Bombyx mori: one gene and its partners. The protein of the gene in region 2 interacts with the protein of the main gene of each other region in a pairwise test. Links are inferred from orthologs where the notes say so. Each region holds a gene or a part of one and is shown on either strand. Other genes may lie near its edges. The genes, in order: histone deacetylase HDAC1, histone-lysine N-methyltransferase E(z) and histone deacetylase complex subunit SAP18.

Evidence for each region.
Region 1: the proteins of histone-lysine N-methyltransferase E(z) (region 2) and histone deacetylase HDAC1 interact in binary tests that used the Drosophila melanogaster proteins (3 or more experiments, as listed by UniProt). The link is inferred for Bombyx mori from reciprocal best matches to the Drosophila melanogaster genes E(z) and HDAC1.
Region 3: the proteins of histone-lysine N-methyltransferase E(z) (region 2) and histone deacetylase complex subunit SAP18 interact in binary tests that used the Drosophila melanogaster proteins (3 or more experiments, as listed by UniProt). The link is inferred for Bombyx mori from reciprocal best matches to the Drosophila melanogaster genes E(z) and Bin1.

The regions. Positions count from the first base shown.
Region 1 is NC_085117.1:13,607,464-13,611,203, reverse strand, and holds part of histone deacetylase HDAC1, read left to right. Parts: intron 1-280; coding exon 281-457; intron 458-646; coding exon 647-749; intron 750-930; coding exon 931-1,165; intron 1,166-1,548; coding exon 1,549-1,638; intron 1,639-2,731; coding exon 2,732-2,876; intron 2,877-3,740. UniProt on the Drosophila melanogaster protein: Catalyzes the deacetylation of lysine residues on the N-terminal part of the core histones (H2A, H2B, H3 and H4).
Region 2 is NC_085117.1:20,094,587-20,098,805, reverse strand, and holds the start of histone-lysine N-methyltransferase E(z), read left to right. Parts: upstream 1-1,419; 5' UTR 1,420-2,216; coding exon 2,217-2,291; intron 2,292-2,363; coding exon 2,364-2,547; intron 2,548-3,872; coding exon 3,873-4,088; intron 4,089-4,219. UniProt on the Drosophila melanogaster protein: Polycomb group (PcG) protein. Catalytic subunit of the Esc/E(z) complex, which methylates 'Lys-9' and 'Lys-27' of histone H3, leading to transcriptional repression of the affected target gene.
Region 3 is NC_085129.1:7,373,141-7,376,267, reverse strand, and holds histone deacetylase complex subunit SAP18, read left to right. Parts: upstream 1-1,366; 5' UTR 1,367-1,614; coding exon 1,615-1,689; intron 1,690-2,024; coding exon 2,025-2,429; 3' UTR 2,430-2,460; downstream 2,461-3,127. UniProt on the Drosophila melanogaster protein: Involved in the tethering of the SIN3 complex to core histone proteins. Interacts with bicoid (bcd) to repress transcription of bicoid target genes in the anterior tip of the embryo; a process known as retraction.

The DNA of each region.
Region 1 (3,740 bases), about 6.5 Mb from region 2:
ACCTTTTTATCACATGAAACTGAGAAAGATAAGTAATTGCAGCACTGCATTTGTTACCTTGTACATACAGCGCTGACTGTACACTCTACATCTAAAAGGTGTGTACACAATTTTACAATGATTGTACATTTTTCTGATCTAACAAAAGAGTAATATGACTCATTTAAAAACTGCTACTGGGAGAAAAAAATTAAATTATCTCGAAGATATCTCATCTCATCTTGGGGTTTTCCTATAAAGATTTTATATATGGCAATAATTGATTATCATAATATTACAGGTGATTTGCGGGACATTGGTGCTGGTAAAGGCAAATACTATGCTGTAAATATACCCCTTCGTGATGGAATGGATGATGAGTCATATGAGTCTATCTTTGTTCCCATTATATCTAAAGTTATGGAGACATTCCAACCAAGTGCTGTAGTACTACAGTGTGGTGCTGATTCTCTGACAGGTAACTATAATAACTCTAACTTTATAACTCTTGTGTCACTTTTTATTTGTCCAAGCTATTTGCTTAATCTAATTTTTTATGAAATTGAATTGATTCTGAATGTCGTAAAATCACTCATACCAATTAATAACTAAATAATAAAAATTTAGTTAATTACTGTAACTAAAATACCTATTTTTATTATACAAGGTGACAGATTGGGTTGTTTCAACTTGACTGTTCGAGGTCATGGACGCTGTGTAGAACTTGTCAAGAGGTTTGGACTTCCATTCTTACTAGTCGGCGGAGGCGGGTAAGTTGTTTTAAATATAAGACTATGTTTCACTTTTAGATAGAAACTGAATCATTATCTTTACTACTTAAGATATTTAAATTACTAGGTCAAAATAATGTAATCTCTTAATTTTTTCACAACAACTAGACTATTTTCTTTAACCATCTTTTCATTGCTTCATGTGTAATAAATTTCACAGATATACCATACGTAATGTATCTCGCTGTTGGACTTACGAGACATCTGTTGCACTTGGTGTGGAAATAGCCAATGAACTACCATATAATGACTACTTTGAGTACTTTGGGCCCGATTTCAAACTACACATATCACCAAGTAACATGTCCAATCAAAACACACCCGAATATCTGGAAAAGATAAAAAATAGACTGTTCGAGAATCTCAGAATGCTCCCACATGCGCCAGGAGTACAAGTAAGTGTTTTCCAAATTACTACATGACTAGATAAAGTTCTGATTACGATTGTTAGTTTTAACGTGTTTCCGATATTTCGCCGCTGCTGCAAACGCCATGTGGTAGGATGTTCGGAATAGATACATCTATCTCTCTAGTACTTTTTCAGTTGTTACCTAAGTTTTTCTTGTCCAATAATAATAATCAATCAAATAATAAGCAAGATTCGTAAGCGGGGTCTCTTAGTACAGGCTTGCACGCTTAAAAGGAGACCCCAATCATTGTATTATTTTAACTCGCTTTTGAAAATAAAGTAGTTTTGTATTTTGTAATTTTTTTTGTAGGCATATTTTTTTACGTTGTTTACTTTTTAAAACATCACTAAAATTCTTTATTCCTCTAGGTGCAAGCCATACCTGAAGATGCTGTCAATGATGAGTCAGATGATGAAGATAAAATAGACAAAGATGAGAGATTACCACAGAGTGATAAGGTATGATTTAAAAGTGGATTTAATCACACAGTGTTTTCCAGTAAGCCCAATTTTAAATATGCGTTTAAATATTTAGTAAAAATATTAATTATTTATTTGGGTGAACTAATTAGTTTTGTTATACATGGCTTTGAGGATAAAATATTGAACAAGAATAAACCCATAACACATTTATTCAGTTAAATATCAAAATTACAGATAGTTAAAATCTCAAAAAAATTTGCAGAATGTTATTCCAAACTCACTAGTATCTAATATGCACAAGTATTCACTCTTTTTCATTAATATTATTTTGCAAAATTCCCTTTGAATCCCTTGTAACTTTTTACTGTATTTATTTTCGTTGGTTTCAATTCGGTTCTTAAATCCAATATCAGTATCGAGTTCGAATGAGCTTTACAATTCACTAAACGTTCCTCGCACGATACAATATGTTTTCGTTATTTTTGTTTCCACTATTTGTGAGTGCTTTTCGTGGTTAAGAGATAGATCTCGTTGCCGCGTGCTGCATTTGTAACAGTACCGTAGATTGGGGGAATCGGGACCCTTTCCAAATCCAGCACAAGTTTTCAATGGTTTTTCTTAGGGTTAATACCAATAAAATTGAGATTAAAATGGTTCCGGAGGCTTAAATTTGTGATGAGTTATTATACATAGTTCATAACAAAATATACACAAAATCTGAAAAAACTAGCTTGACCCCATTCACCTTGGCTTTGGGGTGAATCATATTACGTATGGGGACAATACAGTTTTTCGATAGGGCTGGCACTATTAAGCTGTTAGGTAGGTACCTAACTTTAGGTAATTAATTTTTAATATCTTTAATGAGTTAAAAAACTATGATGACTAAATTAAACTATTTAATATTCTAAAAAAACTAAATAAAAGTAATTTTCAGTTCAACAAAGTTAAATCTAACTCAACTCAACAAAAGTATTGTGACATCCCAGATTTGTCCCTATTCGAACTTTAGTCTCTATTCCCCCCAATTTACTGTAAGATATTTCTACAGTCTGCTCTAAGTGGTGTGCGACATTGCGACCAAGCAAGATTTTGTAGTAACAAGATTTGAATGTGATACGCAAAACAGGACAAGCGCATCGCTAACGACGGCGAGCTGTCGGACTCCGAGGACGAGGGCGACGGGCGACGCGACAACCGAGCCTACCGCGCGCCGCAGCGCAAGCGTCCGCGACTCGACAAGGAACCCTTGCAGATCAAGGACGATCTTAAACGTACGTACACACATCACGTAAAACAGCGATCGGGGAAACTTTTTTATTATTACCCCAAAATATTTTTGTGTAAGTTAATATTACCCCATGGCGAAGAACAAAAAGAAAGTAATCGCTTCTTTTTAGTATCTTTCATATTATAGCCCCCATGATAATTTTAAAAAGAAAACAATAACTAAAAATTTAACGTTTCTAAAGAAGATTCACTTCAATATATACTTTTTACTCACAAAAGTTTCATTTTTACCCTCCAAAATTTAATTTTACCCTATTTGGGGTAATTTGCCCCGGTTCCCCGACCGCTGACTTAAAACATCATCGTACACACATCAAATCGAATAAGATAGCCGTTATTTTCAATGCTCTCGTGAAATAAGAAATATTGCTCGCATTGTGATCGTCGTAACAGAAAGTTTATTAATAGTTGAACACCAGGTGGTTCCCGAGATCGTATAGCGGCTACGCCATTGAAATAAACAAATGATTTATAATGCTTTAAAGATATATTTTAAGTCTTCGTGACCTAAAGGACAAGAAGTACTGGTATCGAGCGATGAGTCTGTGCTGGTGTTCAAACTGCCCTAACATGTACCAATTAATTTGTCTAATGAGATATGTACTTAACATTACTGGTGGTAGGGACCTCTTGTGAGTCCTAATGGGTAGGTTCCACTCCGCCTATTTCTACCGTGAAGCAGCAATGCGTTTCGGTTTGAAGGGTGGGGTAGTCGTTATAACTATACTGAGATTTTAGAACTTATATCTCAAGGTGGGTGGCGCATTTACGTTGTAGATGTTTATGGGCTCCGGTAACCACTTAACACCAGGTTGGCTGTGAACATCGGTAATGGCAATTACTACCAC
Region 2 (4,219 bases):
GAGCTCATGGGGCTCAGCTTGAGAAAATTTTGCTAATATTTGCCCTAGCAGGAGCTGTGTTTCGCTGAATCTACCACCAGATCGAATTCGCAAACCACTAAAAAGACCGGTGGCGAGATACTCAGTGGCCTTCTGGTATTAAGAAAATCCAATAACAGATTATGACGGGATATTTAAAGTATGAATTATATATAACACGTACTTATTGTCGAGAACAAAACATAATGTTTGAAAGTAAAATGAAGACTAAAGTAAAATAATATTTTATTTCTTCTTCTTCTTCTTCTTTTTCTTCACCTTATCCCACTAAGTAGGGTCGGCACAGCTAATTTTTCTCTTCCATTCTCTTCTATCAGCCGTCAGCTCAACACTTACTCCTTTCACTCTCGTATTGTCATTCACACACTCCATCCATGTCTTCTTCGATCGGCTTCTTCCCCTCTACTAAAATAATATTTTATTTGGCTAAAAGAAACGTGTTATTAGCTTTTATTTATTTAAAAAAAAAACACTTTACGTCCGCAACTGATTAAGACGTACGTGTAAGATGTAATTATAGTAATGCTAATTTGATACAACAACAACTACAAGCATCCGAAAAATAAAAATAAAAGAAAGATAGCTAAATTGGAGCGGCACAGCATGTTAACTCTTTGTCCCCACCAACTACTTCTCGGAATTGGTTCATACAGGGACATTCACCGTATCTTCGATCAAAATTCGTCTGTGGTTTTAGTAGGAAAGGGGGGGATTGAAGTGGTGTGAATTGCTTTATTTTGTTAACTTAGTGTATCTTCACGCTTAAAACTGTTCAGTATCTGTAAAAGTGCAAAAATATACAAAAATTAAACAAAGGCACTGATCGTAGTTTCTCAGATTCTTCCAAAAAGTATTTTTTTTTTTTATTGCCTTTGTAGGCAGTCGGGCATACGGCCCACCTGATGGTGAGTGGTTACCGTCGCCCATGGACTTCAGCAATGCCAGGGGCAGAGCCAAGCCGCTGCCTACCGAAAAACCTATTGAATAAGTTACAGTAAATAACTACCATTTTATTGCGAACGAATTTTATCACATCTTATTTCGTTGGATTTCATTCAATCCCATTTAATTAAAGTCTCATAATAATCATGTTGTTGCAAATTTTTTTAACCTATGAATAAAATATAAGTATTCGCTTAACGATCTCGGTTACCAGGCCATAGTATCTTAAAAAAAGCCATTACAAAAGATTCTAAATAAATGAATTACCTAAACACTTCGATCAAAAATAGTGTTGATCGAAGCCTAAGCAAGTGTATATTTATGTTATCTATGGCCAATGGGTTTGACCTAAAGGTTTTAAATACCAGGTCATAAAATCGCAAAAAAATAAATATGTCTATGGGTATCAGCGTTGCCAAATGTACGGCAATTGCCGTTTCGTACGGCAATCATGCTTCTAAAAGACAAATTGTACGGCATACGGCAGAGTGGTCATTGCCGTATTCTAAAATACGGCAACAAGAGCATAAAGCTAAAAAAACAATTAATGTATCTAAAGTGATTACAGAACGTGAATACTTTTTGCGTAAACATAAGCGCATCCAACTCTTGTAATAGACAATGTTTTATGTTTGGTACGGGGAATTCCCTACAACCTACAACGCCTGCTCTTCGAGTCGTCTCCTCAAGTCGCCTCGCCGCCTCGCTCTTGTGTCATTGTTTGTACTAGCAAGTGTAGCTTCATTTTGACATTTGAAAAAGTGCAGTGTAGTGATACATGAGTTAATGTATAAAATGTGTATAAAAAGAATCTTCAGTGCAGTAAATCTAATCAAAACAAAACAAAGAAACCGCCTCTTAACATCTACCATAAATGGAACAATATTAGCAAATAGTACTGTACGAGCTTTAAGCCAACCCCCGAAATGATCAATAAATGAAAAAAAACCCATCAAATTACGGAAAAGATCAGATTATTGAAACTGAACTTACTTTAGGCAATAATACAGATTTGATGAGAAGAGAGGAGTGAAAAATATGTATTATTTTAATTTCATCCTAGAAATAAATAATAATAAACTTTGAATTACTTTGTACGGCAATTTTTGTTTAAATACGGTAGATTTTTTTCTCCAGTACGGCAACCCAATGTTGGCCCAGCGGCAACACTGATGGGTATAGCTCTAAGGTGTAAGTTTGTAAAATGTGAATAGCCGAATTAAAATATTTTGAAAATGAGTAAATCGAAAGTATCAGCTGAATGGAAGAAGAGAGTTAAGTCAGAGTACATGCGGCTTCGACAAGTAAAGGTAACTCAGAATGACAATATTGAAGTTTACGATATATGAATCTGGATATGAATGTAATGTAAATTTTTTTAGCGTTTCAAACGCGCTGATGAAGTGAAAGTAGCATGGGCGCGCAATTTGCAAATAATGTCCGAAGCTATAGAGATGCCTGAGGCGGAAACTACGGATCGTACTAAACGGCCCTTCTGGCCCCCGCCGGCGCCTACATCGAGCCATGAGAGCCTTATGAAGAGGGCCGAAGTTACCTATACAGACGGTAAATCTTAACTTTGCCCTTACTTAACCATGTAGTGTTCATTAAATGCAAATCCGCGCAAGTGGGTACCACCATGCTACCTCATGATGCGAAGCAGTCGTGTGTTCCGGTTTTAATGATTGGATCCTCGCTGTATTTTGTTTTATGGTGGGTAGCTTCATCGCGTCGTGGTTTCCTGTAGCCACCAAAGAAACAGTGATCCTCTTAGCTGTTAAAATTGTTTTGCATTTCTGAAATTTTAGGGTGGGCACCACAACTCCGTAATCCAATTTCAGAAGGAAAATAATTTAAAAGTCCCACAAGCAATTGCAACCCATAATTTGAAAAAATAATATCATTTGTATCTTACCTTACCTACAAGCAAGGGCGGATACAGCTTTGGCGCCAGGAGGGGGTCACATAGTCAAATTTAGATGCGTTCGTTCCCAAACGTTTGCCATTATACAAAGTTATTATATTATATTAAATTAATTAAATATTGAAGGTATGTAGTTACATAAAATCTGTATGGTGACAAAATATATATAAAAAAAATCATTATATTCAATTAGTGGTCCACCTAAGTCCTGGAACCAGCTCATGGGGTGGTCATGACCCCCATGACCCCCCCCCCCCTCTGGATCCGCCATTGCCTACAAGTCTTGTCTACATCAATTAAGATAGACTATATCGACTGCAAGCCTATTAATTGACTTTTCTATTATCAATTCTTATCAACTGCTGTCTTATTAATCACATTTTCTGTCAGCACTTATCAACCAATAGCCCATAAATTGGTTAGAGGCTATTAGCTTTTAACAGTTTCTGTCACTGGGATTAATTAAACTCCTAACCTCTTTGCATTTTTGAGTTTCAATAAAATGTGTGTGTGACTAGCCCTGTCTTGATTTAGTGGCAAGCTCAACCACAACAGGCCAATAGAGTGTTGAACTGCTAAATATGTTCCACTGTCCTGTACTGTAAACATAATGTTTTAGCCTTATCGCAGTAATGTACACCATATAAAAAACAAAAAAGTTCCAGAGTTGCTAAGTAGTTTTTTAAGAATTGCAAAATTTTGTTGCAGTGTTATCAGCAACAAAATTAACTATTCTATGCACTCAAAACATTTTTCTCTAATGAACTAAACTTAATAACAAAAAAGTTTCTAATTCCCATTTACTTTGACGTACAACCCAAAATACTCAACCCTTCTGAACTGCTGATTCCATATGGTGTTCCTTTTCGGTTTTTTTTTCATGAAAGACATAGACTTAGTTTTTCATATTGAGAGCAAAACAGTTTAGAGGACTTCCTACTACTTACTGAATTAAAATATTTTGCAGGTTCAGGTGTAGTGACAACCCAACAGGTACCAATAAGAATAATCAACTCTGTGAATCCAATTCCGACGATGTATACATGGGCTCCAACACAGAAAAATTTTATGGTAGAAGATGAGACTGTTCTGCACAACATTCCATACATGGGAGACGAGGTCCTGGATCAGGATGGTACATTCATCGAGGAGCTAATAAAGAACTACGACGGGAAAGTGCATGGTACATCGGCTTTCATGTCATTACTATAAATGTGGACTGGGCCAGTTTTGTTGAAAAATGATCTTTGTTTCTTACAAATAGTGAAAAAGATGTCTTCCTTGAAAAACAAACCTTAATAATATTCTCTTTAG
Region 3 (3,127 bases), on a different chromosome or scaffold from region 2:
ATTAACTGTTTAGTATCTGTGAAAGTGCACAAATTTGGGAAAATAAAACAAAGCCACTGAACGTAACTTCTCGGGATCTTCCAAAAAGTCCACTGAAAAAGTCTCAGTAAATGACCACCATTTTACTGAGATTATGCTTCATCCCATATCATCTCATCTCATGTCATTTCATTTCGTTTTCATTTCACTTTAGGTTTCATTATAATCAACTTCATTTTATTTCATAATATCATTTTCATTTAAAAAAGTTACGTATCATTAAAATTAAAATAATACTTGACCTAAAGGTCTTAGTTACCAGGTCATAAAAGCCCTTCAAAAAAAAAATCATTTATCATCAGAAATTGTTTAAAGGTACCGTAAAATGGGGCGATTAGGGACAAATTCCAACTTTATGATCAATTTTAAGGTAGTTGTTGATGTATATAATGCTATATCAGGATCAAAATGATTGAGTCTTGGGGGCATCTTTGTTGTCTAATTTAAAATTATGGAACTAGCATTCCAGTTTAAGCAAAAAATGCAAAAATAGGTGTAATCCCTATTTACCCGAAAATTGCGGTTAATTGGGACGAAATGAGAAATTTGCTAGGGTTGGCACTACTTTTATTTTTATATATAGTTTTAATTTATTTATTTATTTAGTTGCACCAACAAAGTGATCATCAATAAAAAAAATTGAAAAACTGACAAAAGTACATGGCAGACATCACCTCAATTATAGGTGCAATCGACAGTGCTGATATTTCTATCTGGGTTAAGAGATTAGGTGTGTCGGTTATTCCATGGATTAATCAGATGAATACCCCCACTCTGAACAAATATTAAATATTTTATTATGTATTACTTAGACATTTTTGTCCACCTTGAGATTTCATTGATCTTGTTACATGTCTCTCCAAAATTGACTTACTTATATTAAATTGCTTATCTATTTCAAATAAAGACTTATTCCCAATTTCGCTTCGAATAAACCAGATTTTTACCAACAAATTTAAAAAATATTGTTATAACTACATAGACAACCCTACAAACCTGTACCTATTTATACTTAGTTCGTTTCCATTTCACGTATTCTCATCCCAATTGACCCCTTTTTCGTTGTTATTTGTACCTAAGCCGTCCCCAATATCCCCAAAACAACAGATTTTTACATGTATTTTTATTTAATCAAATACATTAAAACCAATAACAACTGAGACTTACCTTTAATATATATGCTGGTTCAAACACTAAATAACGTTTATAAATCATAGTCGTTTTCTATTATTATCAAATAAATAAAAGAGAGCAAAGTTTCTAGCACTAAAATAATTACCACCACAGGAAGTTAATTTGAAACGCGATTTTTTATAAGTTAGCAGCTATTATCATGCATATTCAGAGTTGTTTTGTGAACTTTCAACATTCTACTATTAAACTACAAAAAATGGAAGATTTTGCAACGAATATAAAACTTATATTGAGCGTCGAAAGATTTTCCCAGTTTTTTCCCGATTCGCCTCTCAATCCCTAATCGCCCCATTTTACCGGTACATGTATTTAAAGACTCGCATAATTTAAATAATTACTTAAGTTGGAAAAATTAAGTAGGACCACAATTCTCCAAATATTATGAAAATGGCGGGATTAGAATCAATGGTAGTTGAAGAAATTAAACCGACAGAAAAACCGGTGGACAGAGAAAAGGTACTTTGTTAAACAATATAATTGATTATTTTTTACTATAAACAGCATTTACTTTAAATTAATGTTCGCCAACTGATTTTAATTTGACCATAATAATCAACAGAACATTCAAATCCGTTGTGTCTACTAAAGCACTCTGTTCTTTTTTGTTTCGTAATTGACATTTTTTCTTGTAAATGTGAGATATAAAGTAACAATCTATTTGTTTTCGATAACACTAAAGCTCGTTCATTAGGATTATAAATAAAACACAATAATTGAATTGACAGAGGAGGAAATTTGTTATGCTTTTTCCTGATTATATAGAGATATAAATTTAACCTAAAATGTTTCAGACCTGTCCTCTATTGCTCCGTGTGTTTTGTTCAACTGGCCGACATAATTCTCCTGGAGACTATGTTAGAGGAAACGTACCTCAGAATGAATTACAAATATATACATGGATGGATGCTACACTGCGAGAACTTACAGGACTTGTAAAAGAAGTTAATCCTGAGACGAGACGGAAAGGCACATACTTTGATTTTGCCATTGTGTATCCTGATATGCGTTCCCCTACATATCGTATGAGGGAAATAGGAGTTACATGTTCCGGACAGAGAGGAGGCGATGATAACAAGACACTTTCACAACTGAAATTTCAAATTGGGAACTATCTAGACATCTCAATAACACCCCCAAACAGAATGCCACCACCAATGAGGCGTCCACAACCATATATTAATAATCGTCAGTACTGATAATTAAGTTTAATAAAAGAATGTGTATCAACTGTGTTCTTTCACTTGATTTAAAGGGTGAAGTTGGATTTCATTAAATTACTATTATAAAGGGGAACACCCACTCTCCATAGTGTTCTGGGCCCAAGATGGACATCAAATATTACTATAAAAATGGACTGTTTCTTAAATATATTGGATATCTAAAAAATATATTGAAATTGACACCACTATTATAAAAATAAAATAAAATAAAAAAATCGTTTTGAGGTTTATTTTCTATATAAATAAGTGTTGGATTATGAGTTACTTCAAGAACTTTTCTTTTATTAATGTTTAATTTATTAATTATGATAAGGGAGATGTTCCTAATGTAATTTTATCCAATTGTAGTTATTAGGGTATAAAAAACACATGTTTTTCTAAATATCTATGTTTTCTTCATCTTCATACACAATTAATAAATCATCTAAAAATAGCGCAGGAGGGCATATCCACGGTTATGAGTCTCGTTCAGTTTAAAACCACAATTCACACTATGTCTTAGTCGTAGTATGAAACATTATTGATCGGTATCCATAATCGAATGTAGCTGTGATCTTTAACTCCTGAGCCAAAGTCGTCGTTGAAGGGAGGATAAAATCCATAAAACAAAGTCAGTAAAATAAATCGAGGAAAAATCAAAACGCATCCATTTTACGCACCATTTTTCCGTTGTG